Drosophila melanogaster: one gene and its partners. The protein of the gene in region 1 interacts with the protein of each later gene in a pairwise test. Each region holds a gene or a part of one and is shown in the gene's direction. Other genes may lie near its edges.

The links.
Region 2: the proteins of CG5107 (region 1) and CG9281 interact in a two-hybrid assay, tested with the Drosophila melanogaster proteins (one large-scale study listed by BioGRID).
Region 3: the proteins of CG5107 (region 1) and Pif1A interact in a two-hybrid assay, tested with the Drosophila melanogaster proteins (one large-scale study listed by BioGRID).

What each region holds. Positions count from the first base shown.
Region 1 is NT_033777.3:25,503,443-25,506,475, forward strand, and holds CG5107 (uncharacterized protein), read left to right. Parts: upstream 1-1,748; 5' UTR 1,749-1,774; coding exon 1,775-1,837; intron 1,838-1,897; coding exon 1,898-2,476; 3' UTR 2,477-2,489; downstream 2,490-3,033. Other genes in the region: CG5111 (uncharacterized protein), read left to right, coding at 2,922-3,033.
Region 2 is NC_004354.4:15,705,261-15,712,101, reverse strand, and holds CG9281 (uncharacterized protein), read left to right. Parts: upstream 1-1,562; 5' UTR 1,563-1,796; intron 1,797-3,057; exon of another isoform or gene 3,058-3,119; 5' UTR 3,120-3,127; coding exon 3,128-3,788; intron 3,789-3,863; coding exon 3,864-4,369; intron 4,370-4,436; coding exon 4,437-4,973; intron 4,974-5,037; coding exon 5,038-5,169; 3' UTR 5,170-6,296; downstream 6,297-6,841. Other genes in the region: CG15601 (uncharacterized protein), read right to left, coding at 93-593, 646-978; Hap40 (Huntingtin-associated protein 40 kDa), read right to left, coding at 6,651-6,841.
Region 3 is NT_033777.3:8,798,132-8,802,992, reverse strand, and holds the start of Pif1A (PFTAIRE-interacting factor 1A), read left to right. Parts: upstream 1-1,816; 5' UTR 1,817-2,118; intron 2,119-2,213; 5' UTR 2,214-2,299; intron 2,300-3,048; exon of another isoform or gene 3,049-3,531; intron 3,532-4,861. Other genes in the region: CCT7 (chaperonin containing TCP1 subunit 7), read right to left, coding at 1-807, 874-1,134, 1,313-1,315.

The sequences.
Region 1 (3,033 bases):
TTCATTACATTTCAACCCTCTTGGCTGCTGTCACTGCCATTGAACCGCATTTGTTTAAAAGATTGATGACCAACAATTGACTGCAGGCCCGCATCCTTCCGCCCCCCGGTTGCTTTTCTCTTTGTTTTTTTTTTTTGTCTGCTCCTGACATAATGTGCTCAATATTTATGAGCCGCAGATCCGGACAGACACTTCAAGTTTCCCGTAATCGAAGATGAAGAGCAATGAGCACGGCCATGACCTGTAAAACTTGCGGAATGATTTCATTAATTTAATGTACAACAATGTGACTTGTCACTTGTCAACTTTTTGGTCGAAACTTGGCCGGGGATGGTAAATCAGTTCATATTAGTCTAATGCCCCGAGGGGGGGATAAAACTCACTTAGTGCCGAGAAAAGTTTGCCGACAACATGTCATTGATTTCATACACGCTGCATGCCCAGGACGCAGGACTCAGGACTCAGGACACAGGACACAAAAAGGACAGGACAAGGATCTTAAAAAGTGCCGCATGCAGGCTACGATGCATCATCATGGTTGTCAGCCACATTTACTCGACATTTAACTTATGCCAAGTGCAGATGCGATGGAGACGACGGCTACGAACAGGAAAACGGAAAGGAAGGATGTGAAGTTCCGGGCGGGCGGTTCTAATTGTATAAAAGAAAGGCTGAGCTTCTCGGAATAATAATTTACGACAAACTAGTTATTCTTCTACTTTCAAGAAGGTAGAGCTTACTTTTCTATTTACTATATTTATTAAATCAGCAACCATTTTCCAAATGAATCATCTGCGGATTTAAGATGCTTACTTCAACAAACGCATTTTCCGAGCAAATAAGCCATTCCGGAAAAACAAATTAAGGATGCGCAATCGACACGAAATAAAGACCCTAAAGAACTCAGTCAGCTACTTTATTACCCGGAGAGATATTGCCATCCCATCCCGGGAAAATTGGAAAGACCCCAGCTAACCTAATGACAGACCACCCGAACACCCTTACAAACGATATTACTACAGACTTTTACGACACTTTTCATTAGCAGCCACACTTGCTGTTGTCGCGGGTAGCCGGAAACTTTCTTTTGTATGTTGGAAATGTCTTGGACCTGGTGGCAGTGTCTTATTTTCCACACACCCCTAGTGGGAGTTATTAACCCTTAACCACACGTTACCATTTATAACCCGAACAAAGTGAACCGAGCGCGTTAAGCTGACAATGGCAACAAATTTTTTTCCTTTTGCCGTCTATTGTGCCCGGAAAATCTGGTGGCAGCCACCATTCAATTGTGGTTCTTTTCCTCTTTGTCTGCGGTTTATGGCTTTTAATTCGTTCTGAGCCTCGATTCTTAAGGGTGCCCAAGTGAATTTCGCACTGACATCAACGGATATTGTGTGATAATTGCCACAAGAAAAATATTCGACATTTTTAGAGCGTACATTTCGTTTGCATTTAAATGGGAAAATTAATTAATCATTTCAGATTTGTATTCATTTAAAACACTTCAATTGAGCAATATGAAAATTAACCGATCGAAAATGTATATTTTAAGTATCTTAAGTGGCTGATAAGTGCTGATAGATAGATACATATAAGTACTTTTGAGGTAGGTAGATTGATTACACATTTCTAGATGATAGCCGTATAAAAAAAAGGTATTAGATAGTTGGAGTGGGCAATTCGATTAATTTCTGATAAGACGTAGTTTTCAGCGGGTATATAAACTGATCTTCACTACTGGCCGAGAAAATATTATTAATTGGACAGTAAAATGAAAGCCATCACCGTTTGCCTTTTGGTTCTGGTTTCGGCCACCTGTCTGCTGACCACGCGGGTAAGATTTGCCAATTAAAAAAAAATTAACTTAAATATAATAAATATTTCTTTGTTTCAGGCCAATGCAATAGAATTGCTGGAGAACGAGAACTTCGACTATGATTTCGACTTTGAATCGGAATTGGAGCAGTTGCTGGATGAACTGGACAATGACACTGACTACATGGATGTGGAGGCACAGGGCTTTATTAGAACATGCCTTAAAATCCTTCGCAAGGCATTGAAAACGGTTCGAGGCACCAACTGTATTATCAAGGAGGTGACAAACATCCTTAGTTCATGCACCAGCTATGTGGATGCTATTGATGCCTGTGGCACTGCCATTCCCAAGGATGTGGCCAAGATTGTGGACTCCGTTAAGGAGATTATCAAAATCTGCGACGATATTTTGCATCTGCATTCGAAACTTTGTGCCACGGATAAGTCCGTGGGCTCGTCCATCAAAAACTCGGCCAAATGCTTCTGGAAATTGTTCAAGGCATCCATGAGGCTGACCCGAAAGATCAATAAAACCCTAAAACTGATTGCCAAATTGCCAGCCGATACCAGTTCCTGCTTCGTAAATGCCACCAATAAAGTTACAGCGTCCTTTAACTCTTTTCTGCCCAACATTGATGTCTGCATCGAGTCTATGTAAATATATTATTATTAAAAAATAAAAAACTCTTAAGCTTACAGCAGATTAGATTTCAATTCTCGAGCCTTTGTTCCCAACAACCTATGAACAATAATATAGTGATTTGATTGAAAATAAATTTTGTTTCATTATGATAAGATAACTTCAATTTCCAACTATGAGCCGAACTGAAGCGATTCGATTAAGATTCGTTAATAAATACAATCGGTATCTAGAGAGGGTTCTTGAACAGCTTTATACTGATATGGAAAATTAATTGTAATTAATTATAAATTGCAATTAAAGGGATTTAACTTACGTCTCTGAATTTATAATAATTTAGCATTTTTTAGCATTTAGCAAAAACAGATGTTAAGGTAACACTGAAAGAGCACTGTCAGAGTTGAAAATGTTCGTCATAAATTTAGAAATTATTTAGTTCGATTCGGGCACGACAGCACGAAACATGTCCCAGATAAACAATATATTCATTAAGCTGCGAGCTCGTCTGCGGGAGCGTGATATCAAGTTGTGGGAGGAGCCGTACTACTTCGAGGAGGTGGGCAGCATCGAGTCGG
Region 2 (6,841 bases), on another chromosome or scaffold:
TTGATAAATATCCCCTGGAAATTAGGCCAGGGTGGCATATTTTTGGGGATTTTGCCAGAACTGAGCACAGTGTTTAAATTTAGACTTATGGTTTAAAAGGTATTCTGGAGTTGCGTGCTATTGACCTCGGTGCTCTGAAACTGCCCGGTTTCAGCCTCGAACAGCACCTGCTGGATACGCAGCTTAGCCACGGACCGAGAATATGAATCCGGAATGGTTCGCAGCTGAGAGGCGATGCTCTGGCCGAATATAATAAGATCATCCTCTCCGGCCGAGTCCAGACTTGTAATGTACTTTGATTTTCGTTGTGCCATCGTGTGAGGAAGCTGCTGGGAGCTGCTGCACCCCTGAGAATAGTGCTCCTGCTGTGGTTGATCCGCCAGGCAGAGCGTGGAATCATCTTTGCAGATGCTTGCTGTTGGCCTGCTTTCCTCCAAAGGACACTCCTCCGGCTCGCCATTTACCTCTGCATCCTCTTCCTCTAGCGCATCCTCGCTCATAGTGATATCTGCGGCGGCAGTGCAAAGAAGCTTGCTCGTCTCATCCGATTTGATCGTCGTTAATTGAGCACTGGAACTGTTATTTTTTCCCTGCTGGTGGTGGGTCAGAGGTTAACATTGACATAAGAACATCGTGAAATCCTACCCTTTTGCAGTGGGAGAGGGAAACGGAGCGTAGAAAGGAGTCGGCCAACCTAAACCAAAACAACTTTGGTTCGTAGGTCCTGCCCAGCTCCTTCTCACGCATCCAGATGCGCAGCTCCTTAGAGTACACGGTACGCACGCTCTTGATCTTTAGCTTTATGTCCGACACTGTCAGTTGGGGTATCTTCAGGGACCGGATGATCGCTCCGTAGGCCTCCTCCCGGGACACACGATTCTTGTACGAGTCCAGCAGTGTGTTGTAGAGGCACGGCTGGCGACGGTATGCCTCCAGGAACTCCGTGATCGGGATCTTAGTGTCGCTCAACTTCGACATGACCAATTCCTTTTTGGACCAAAGGAAAACAACTTCACAACACAACTTTTGTTTACACTTGGTTAGTGAGGCCAGACGATGCGGGACTTGGACGTGACCGAATTTCGAAGGCGTTATCTGCTGATATATCGTTTAGTGTCCAAAACAAATATTCTAACGTTCACTTCAAGCTATTTAATATTTATAGATATTTTGGAAACACTTAAAAGAATAAGTTTGACAAGTATTTCAAATTTTTATGAAATTGTCTCAGTGTCTCAATTTCTTTGTACTGAATACAGCATATCAATATTATATTACATAGAAATATATAATGCATTCAGCTTTGAGCGAATCAAAACTATTGCTTTTATGAAATTAAACTTATTTATGCTATTAAATATTATATGTTTCTTTCATTTTACAAATTATTTAAGACTTGAATCGTAGCGATACTAGCTGATCCGCTGGCCCTGCCAGTGTGCCCCTCGCCCGTGTGCCAGTGTGACCTTAACGCATTGGCGACCGAATCCTCTCCCGCTTCGCGGGTTCCGTGCCAAACGCCATCGCCACCACGTGGAGCCTTTCTCCCGTTCTGTTCCGTTCAGTCGTCTCTCTCTTTTTCTACCGAAAACGGTAACAGGCAGCAGGCACTTTTCAGCAGCTGCTCCGTGCGTGCGTGTGTGTGTGCGAGATCCGAACCGAACCGATCTGTTCCGTTACGTTCCGTTACCGTAGACGTCGCCGTACCGTTATCCTTCGCGAACTTCAAAGGACACTCCTTTGCACTGCTCTCGCCCATCATCCTTGATTGTCAGTCAAGTCCAATCGACGCCAAGGTGAGTAATTGCACACCGTCGTCGTCGTCATCTCGCCGTGGAAAATTCAATAATGTGCGCAGCGCAACACACATGCAATTTTACCATTTCTGCGACTGCCTGACTGTGTGTCTTTGCCTGTGTTTGTGTCCGTGTGTGCGTGCTGTAACATCGGCCAGGTGTGTGTGGGTGCGATGGAGGTGGGGGCAATTGATGGTGACAGCAGATCGTGCAATGCAGTTTTTCCGCGTTTCCTGCAACTTCCAACTGCCATCAATGGGCTCCATTGTGAACAGTGTGTCCCAGTGAATCATGCATCCCATTCAGACATCCCGGCCGTACGAAGAAGAGGAAGAAATATGCCCCTCGGCAACAGAGAAAGAGAGGGAGAGCGCGTGTGAGGGAGGCAGAATGCGGCACAGTGGAGCGCAGACAGCACAGTGGAAATTTTTGAGTTTTTGCTGACGCTGTCTAATTTTAAAATTGAGTTCAGATTTTATTTGTTCTTTGTTGAAACAGTTGGTTACACGTGATCTATGTGTATGCAAGTGTGGGTGGTGAGCAAGGGAGGTAAAGAGACAGAGAGCGAATTCCAGGTGGCCTTGAACGTGATCCTGTTAATTGAACTGTGCTGCCCATAGAAATAATGGCGGGAAAAGACCGGGCACAATGCTTCCAAGGATCTGCAAAATGTCCATCAAATGTATTTTATATAAATACGATAATTTTATAATTTATTAGGATATGTTGACAACAAGTACCACTTTGTTTGATTTATGACTTCAAAACTAGGCAATGTGGACTTCTTTAGGTAGCTCACAAAGGGAAACAAACAAAGAACAATAGAACTTTTGAGTGTGCAAAGCAAACAATTTTCAATCGATATCTTGTACTTGACTATAAAATTTTTAATGTCTAAGTGCGAATGGCAAAGCTGCATTTATTTCCACTAGCTAACGGCGAATCGATATTGAAAGGGTTTAGATTTTCAGCTTTATTTATTTATTTAAAAAAAATCCTAAAATTGGTGTAAACACGTTTAAACGATTAGATCGGGAATACTGAATCGGTAAGGTAATCAAAACGAAAAAAATGACGATCTTGTGTCTGGCTTTCGTAGATAAGGCAATCAACCACAACATAACTTGAAACCTTTTCCGGTTCTACGACCTTGTGGGAAATGTGTAACCCTTTCCAGGGACTACTACTTAAAAATAAAACATTTTCAAAAAATATAGAACTAAAAAAAAAAATAGTTTGATCATACTGTCATTACTGGCAACGACTGAATAACACTCACAACAAAATCCCCCTAAATAAGATACCGATTTCGTAAATTTGCAGCCGGAATAATGTCATCCGCCGCGAAGAAACGGGAGGCGCAGAAGAAGAAGGATGCGCGCAACAAGAAGATCCAACAGATACCCTCCACCAAGAAGGCCAATGGTGTCCCGGAACGCGAACTGACCGAGGAGGAGAAGCTGTGCGCCAAGCTGGAGGAGGAGGCCCGGATCAGTGCGGAGGCCCGATCCTGCACCGGATCGCTGGCGGTGCATCCGCGTTCCCGTGACGTCAAGATCGCCAACTTTTCGATCACGTTCTTTGGCTCCGAGCTGCTGCAGGACACCATGCTGGAGTTGAATTGCGGGCGTCGCTACGGTCTGATTGGCCTGAACGGATGCGGTAAGTCCTCGCTGCTGGCCGTGCTTGGCGGCAGGGAGGTGCCGGTACCGCCGCACATCGACATCTTCCACTTGACGCGCGAAATCCCGGCCAGTTCAAAGAGTGCGCTGCAGTGCGTCATGGAGGTGGATGAGGAGCGCATTAAGCTAGAGAAGCTGGCCGAAGAGCTGGCCATGAGCGAGGAAGATGATGCTCAGGAGCAGCTGATCGACATCTACGAGCGGCTGGACGATATGTCCGCCGATCTGGCAGAGGTCAAGGCGGCCCGCATCCTTCACGGTCTTGGCTTCGACAAGGCCATGCAACAGAAACAGGCCAAGGACTTCTCAGGTGTGTAGAACTCTCCTTGTGCACGAATTCTTTCGTCAAGTGTAACGAATTTGTTATATTTCCCCTGCCCTCCAGGTGGTTGGCGTATGCGTATCGCCTTGGCCCGCGCGCTGTTTGTGAAGCCCCATCTGCTGTTGCTGGACGAGCCGACGAATCACTTGGATTTGGACGCCTGTGTGTGGCTGGAGGAGGAGCTTAAGACATACAAGCGAATCCTGGTGCTCATCTCGCACTCGCAGGATTTCCTCAACGGTGTCTGCACAAACATCATTCACCTGACGGGCAAGCGACTCAAGTACTATACGGGTAACTATGAGGCCTTTGTGCGCACACGCATGGAACTGCTGGAAAACCAGATGAAGCAGTACAACTGGGAACAGGACCAGATTTCGCACATGAAGAACTACATTGCTCGATTCGGTCACGGTTCCGCCAAGTTGGCGCGACAGGCGCAGTCCAAGGAGAAGACGCTGGCCAAGATGGTTGCTCAGGGACTCACAGAGAAGGTGTCCGACGATAAGGTGCTCAACTTTTACTTCCCATCGTGCGGCAAGGTGCCGCCACCCGTGATTATGGTTCAGGTTGGTTTTTTATTTAAATGATTTGGTAATGGTTAAAGGTTTCTAACTAATGAAATGTATGCCGTAGAACGTGAATTTCCGATACAACGATGAGACACCGTGGATCTACAAAAATCTGGAGTTCGGAATTGATCTAGACACACGTCTCGCTTTGGTTGGACCCAACGGAGCTGGCAAGTCCACGTTGCTGAAGCTGCTTTATGGCGATCTGGTGCCCACCTCCGGCATGATCCGCAAGAACTCCCATCTGCGCATCGCCCGCTACCACCAGCATCTGCACGAGCTGCTCGATTTGGATGCCAGTCCGCTAGAGTACATGATGCGTGCCTTCCCTGACGTCAAGGAGAAGGAGGAGATGCGCAAGATTATTGGTCGCTACGGCCTCACTGGTCGCCAGCAGGTGTGTCCGATTCGCCAGCTCTCCGATGGCCAGCGGTGCCGCGTGGTGTTCGCCTGGCTCGCCTGGCAGGTGCCCCATCTTCTGCTACTTGACGAACCCACCAATCACTTGGACATGGAGACAATCGATGCGCTCGCGGATGCGATCAACGATTTCGATGGCGGCATGGTGCTAGTTAGTCACGATTTCCGTCTGATTAATCAGGTAAGCTAACTTTTCCTTCACGAATAGTTATCACGTTTGTAATCGCGCATTCTTTTGTTTCCAGGTGGCTGAGGAGATTTGGGTATGCGAAAAGGAGACGGTAACCAAGTGGAAGGGCGGCATTCTGGACTACAAGGATCATCTGAAGAACAAGATCACCTCCGAGAACGAGAAGAAGGCCAAGGCGGGAAAGTAGATATATCCCATATCCAGTGGATAGATAGCTGCCAACGGCCACACACTCGCACACACACAGTCGCGCATCCAAAACACCCAAACACACAACCAAACGCATCCCTCAACCGAAAGGACATTCAGACCGCTATCCCTTCTCTTCAATAGGCGGCGGGCGACATCCGGCTATTGGGCTGCCCGTTCGCTGCAATCCATTCTGTGCGAAATTAGTTTTGCGTTTACTCTACGCTATAGTGAAGTCACAATTCGATCGGCCAACCAGTAAAATAATCAACAATAAAACTAGAACGAACCGAACACCCAATCCAAACCTATCCAATCACAACCATGCGTAACACAACCGTTGACAACTCAACAGGAACACACAAATTTTAGCTGAATTTTTTCTTTTTACGTGTCGAATTAAAGTTATAAAATTATAAATATATACAATTACGAAGTGGACAGGCAGAAAGAACTATAACTTATAAATACAACCAACCAACTATATACAAAACTGCTTGTGATCTTGCGCTTATATAATTTCGTTTAATTCTTCGCTAGGTTTCATGTAAACATATATATAAAAAATGAAAAGTGTACTTTATTTTTTTGTAATTTATTTAAGCCTTAACTATATATTTAAAAATTAAAAAATCTAAACTACAACAACAGACGTATGAATGATTAAGCGAATAGTAGTCGCAGCAAATTGTGTGAGAAACGATGTTAAACTGCCCTCCCAAATCGGAACCGTGATTTAGTTGCTCGCGGATTCGAACAAGACAATTAAATATTCTTCGATTCGATTTAAAACACAATGCAAAGTAAATGGAAATTGTAACAGGCTTAGGAAGGATTAATGGGTATTACATGAAACGTACATGCATACATATATGAAAATTTACAAATTACATAAACAAACAGATATTATAGGATATTTAACAAATTGGAATTGTAAACTCCAGCGAAAAACAAAAAAAAAAAAAGTTTTGTAAGCAAACACAAAGAAATCACGAAATTCGATTCGGAATATCAGTTGTGGCACCCGAAGAGTGTCGCATTAATTAGCTAACTTAATTGAGAAATTGCTAAGAAACAAAAAACAGAAGTTGCTTGACAAAGGTAAAATAAACAAATTAAATGACCAAAATATTGCATTACTATTAATAGGGGGCTTCATAGAACATCTGTTGGATTGATTAGAAACAAGTTGGTGGTTTGTTAGTCATCTTTATCTTCGCACTATCATGCGCATTCCTCTTCATTTATTGTACAAATCACAAATCCTATTACATTTCATTGCGCTTCGCACCTTCTGTTTATTGCTGCATTCACCTGGTCATTCGTTTGTTAATTTAATTCAATTTTTATGCGTGTAGGCACGTTCAAAGGTTAGTTGGTAGACTTGGTTACACTTAAGCGATAGTTGCATGTGTCATTCTCATTCAGTGGTAATGATCCAGTAGTAAATAATGTACAGTACGATCTTAGGTCTAAAATCTAGTAGCTTCGGGCCAGTTCTGCATGCATCACCGCCAGCAGCTGCCTTTCCATGTCGCTCAGCGATCCAAATTCGGCTCCAAAGTCGCGCAGCAGGTGCTTTAGATCGCACATTTTACGCTCCACCCAGGCGCACGTAATCTCCGCCAGCGCATACTGCTGCTGTTCGGGCACAAATGCTCCCGGACGCT
Region 3 (4,861 bases), about 17 Mb from region 1:
GAAACGTTCGCCGCCCACTTGGCGCTCCTCGAAATGTTCGCACAGGCCGAGTACATTGGGCTTAATGTCGTTGGCCGTCGTCATTACGGCTCCACCGCAAGCCTTCATGGTGCGCTTAAGATCTTCTTCGGGAACGCGGCCGGCGCAGAATATGTCGCGGTCGGCGAAATACTGTGTGGCCACATCACCGATGGGCAGCTTGGAGAGGACAACATTGGCGCCGGACTCGTGGATCTTAGCCAGCTTGTTGTAGAGGATCTGCCACTCGGCGTCGACCACCTTTTGGTACTCCTTGACGTTGTCTACGCGGATCTCGGCGTTATCGCGCTCAGCCTTAAGCTCCAATTCGATGTTGAGCAGGGCAATTTTGCAGTTGTCATAGGATTTGGGGGCCATTTCAAAGCCGGCATAGGAAAAGGTCTTCTTGAAGGCCACACCCGACACTAGCTGTGACTCCTCCAGCGAGCCACCGGTCACCTTCTTAATTCCAATCATGTTGAGGGGCAGCAGCTCATCCAGGGAGAGCACAGCATCGACTACAATGCGGGAGAAGAAGTCCTTCTGCTGGTGAATCAACTTGGAGGACATGGCAGTGGCTGCGCACTTCTCAAGGAGAGCACGCTGCTGGTCCTTGGACTGTTCGACAATTTGGACGGCCATTTCGTTGATCTTTTCCATGCAGAGCTGCAGGGCCTTGCGGATGGCCTTAATGATGACTCGTGGGTGCACTCCCTCCTCCACGAAGGGTTTCACCTGCTTAAGGAACTCGCCGGCCAGCAGAACCACGGACGTGGTGCCGTCACCCACCTGAAGGAGAAGTCGAATCAAAGCTTTAGCAGTGTCACGTGCGTCTCAGGGGTGCCAATCACTTACCTCGGCGTCTTGTGACTTGGCAATGTCCACCAGGGTCTTGGCCGCCGGGTGGATGATCTCCAGCAGCTTCATGATGGTGGCTCCATCGTTGGAAATCGTCGCCTTGCCGTGGGCATCCACAATCAGCTTGTCCATGCCGCGGGGACCCAGAGTGGTCCGCACTGCGTCCACGATCGACTGGCAGGCATTGATGTTGGACACCAGTTGCGGCTTGCCCTGCGACGAGTCAGTGCCTTCTTTGAGGAGCACGATTTGCGGTTGCTGCGGATCATACGGATATAAGGCGAATATATAGTAAAAGTCTCCAATTAGTCAGCAGATGTCGTCGGCTTGCGAGAAGCTTCTTTGCAGGTTATGTTTACAATCTCATGCCGCTCGCGGACGAGTCCATGATTGGGATTCACTTGGTTAGCCTCGGATTATTTCCAGCCGGACTTACCATATTTATGTGATGGGGTTGGCCTTTAGCACGTATTACAGTTTAAAACAATAAAGTTCCTAGCAGACAGGCGGCAACTTGCTTTTCGTTCACGTTTTCCGCGATGAGTAATGGGCCAATCGATTAATCGTTGTTATTTTGTATTTAATCGATGCTTGCAGCCAGTGTGAACGTTTGGGGACTTAGTCGCACTTTACAATGAAATTTGAAATCCTAACTCATAAAAAACTATCTATTTATTTCTATCTTGCGATTTTTTAACTTTATGGTACAAAGCTAGTTTCCACACTTTTTGATGAACATTTTAAACTAATATGATATGCAGCTGGTAGTTGTTATCGAAAAAGTTATCGATGGCTCCATGACGTCACTCTTGACCGGCGAGCGGTTTTTTGAAATTGCTCCCAACTTCAAATATAGATTTGTGATTCCTTCTATTTATATAAATTTGGCGATGCACGCACGCATGTCGCTTATTCCATTTTAGAAAGTGCGCCGCATCTTCAGTTTGTTCCTACCGCTCAACTTGAGTGAGTTGTGCACCGAGCAGCAATTAAATGAAAAATAGAAGAGTCATTTGAAAGGCCAAAACGCCAGAACATTCAACCGCAAATAGGTTTAAATGAAAGAAAGCATTCTAAATCTAATTCGGTCATGTGGAATTGGAATTTTAGTTGCCCAAGACTCCTCTTAACGACGACATCGAACCACAAGGGATGCCAATGGATACTAACCGGATACTAGACAATTGCCGAGTGATTATGAAACAAATCAGGATGCTGAACCGACTATGAAAAATGCAAATAGTGAGTAAGAAAAAGAAAAGTGAAGTGGGGCTCCCACACGATAAGGCACTCAAATCAAAGTGCAAAGTTTGTTCCCCTTTTGTGCTTTTATTTAGATTTCCCCTGTGTTGACTGACTGGAATCGGAATGTGTTCTAATTGTGTCCATCATTCATCGCGTCGTTAAGGCGATTGTCAAATTTGTATGTGATTTGTGAAGATTCTTCAGCTGTTGGGGATTATAGACATAAAGATATTCATACGCAATACGTTTGGCATTTAAATCGAAATTAAAAGTATGAAATTTTAATTGCCATAAAAAGACTATAAAAAAGTTGAGCAACTTAAATGTTTTGCAAGTATGTTTATTACCAAATTTATTTACTTCTGGTCTAAACATATAATAATAGATGCACGTTTCAACAGCTTTAATGTCACGTCTTCAGATTGCTCTTAAACTTAAACTAGCACAAATGCTTTGTGCTGATATATGTTTGAGCAACGCGCCTTAATCATGCGGAAGTACTTATAACAATGTTTACACAGATATAACAATTTAACTGAATTTTATCATTACTTTATCAAACTTATACCGAATTAATATCCAATCAACCTGAAGTTCCGATATCTTTTATTTCACTGTTTGTTATTTTGACCAATTTCGTGGCGGGTTGTGTGCATATTTTGGTTATTAATAAACACGCGACTGGTTTTTTTTTGTTATGAAGTCGGGAACCGGGAGGAAAACATCTTCGGCTTTCAATAGATGGGCTCTTCCGGCTTCACGTCGGCCATTCTTCGGGGCACGCACACAGACCCGAGCTTTGCCACCCCATAACCCCAAGAAGTGCATGAATAAATGGCAAAGCTCCTTTTAATTAAATGGAAATGGAGGCAAATGTGAAAGAGCTTGCGAAAGCTCGAGAGGCCGAGTTAGTCAATCGGTGTCCGGCCGAAACGAAAGATCTCTGCTATCGCCGAGCAACGAAATTTACCTAGTATAGAACACTTCTTTTAATTTACAATTCAAATTGATTGCAACTAATTAGGATACTCCCCAAACGAACCGAACATAACTCACTTCTATTCCGACGAACTTGTGTAACTTAATTGATATAATTTCGAACTTCCTGTACGAACTGTGTGAATATATTTGAACAAAAATATATCATACTTTGCTTAACAATTGTCGAAGAAGTGCTCCACATACCGACGATATTCTACTTGGTCTGTGCGCGAAAAAAGTTGATTGAAAATTAACGTATTGACGTCATTACACTGCAAGAAACAGTGGCAAGCAGGCAGTAAATAAACTGTTTACATTACAACATCGTCGGTCGACTTAGTGAGTGAGTGAGTGAGTGAATAAACATATACAGAAGTTTGAGGCACACCAACTGTTGGTCTACGACGCCCAAGGATTTCAGAGCTAATGGTGCGTATACGTGATCTTCGGTGAATCAGCCGAAAGAGCCGCAGACTGTACACTCGACGGCTGACCGACTCATCGTTTGGCAATATTTTCAAATTGATATATGACTGAAAATATACATACTTAAAGAGCAAAAAAGAGACTTTCATCTGCCCATGTGGATGGCTGTGGATGTGGATGGCAATCGAGTGGGTGGCTTTGCTCGTATAAAACCAATCCCAACCAAGCCGGTCACACCGAGGCTGTGATGTCACCATGGCGTGTATGTCGACCCCAAAAACACTTTATTATCGAGTGGACTGGGGGCGGTTTTAAATTTAATTAAATGAAATGCAACATGAGAGCCATCATTAGCCCCAGTCCTTCAGTTTATAGAAAAGCCACAAAATAAATATTACATACATTTGGAACGAACACCTCTTTTAGGGTAGTTTTTCCACTAACAGTTCGGTTTTGAAATACGTCCAAGAGTCAATATCATAAAGTTTACTAATAATTACTTATAATTTATGTTGATAACCAGAAAGTAATAAACTTGGGCACCACTCACTTAAGATCCCTCCCTATTAACACCTAGTGTATCGAGCTGGAAAAACAAATCAAATTCCAATTAGGCGCCAGAAGGTTGCTAAGTACACAAATCTGTCGCTCTACATGTGTATATAGATCGTGGCCTTGATAAAGATGATCGGCCAGAAATCTCGGAGAGCATTCTATGAACATATGAACTGTGGGCCTACTCGTGTGTGCACCTCATACAGTATATATATAGATGCTTTGTTATAATCTTTGGGGCGGATGTGGGAGCAGTGCAAAGAATTCTGTTTCTGTAGAACAAAAAAAGTAATGAAAAGCGGTTTTATTGCGTGTAAAGCGCCCCAGTGGGGAACCTCACAAAACAAAAAAAACACATGTACATATGAATGTACGTACATATTCTGTTCTATTCCAAAAGGCGCGCCACATGACGTCATTAAGAAAAGTCATTCCGGACCAGTTTATTTGGTAAGCCCAACGCAATTGGCGTTGTAAACTATTTCCCAGTCCCAGGGTGCCTATATGTTTCGTTTTTCATTCATATGTGTGGCCCGACCCGATGTGGCGAAATGAAGGAAAAAGCTTTTCCGCTGAAATCAATAATGGGGGAAACTTGTTGATTAGTTCAACCCAGTGAAGAAAAGCGTTGAAGAGTCTACGGCTAAACAGAAGCCATTGAAATGCTGACAGACAAAGGGGAATCTTTGCGATTCTGAAGAAACAACCTCCATGCGGGCAAAGACTCGGAATTCTGTATACTGTGTAATTTTTCAAGGCATAATTTGTAATAAGTAGA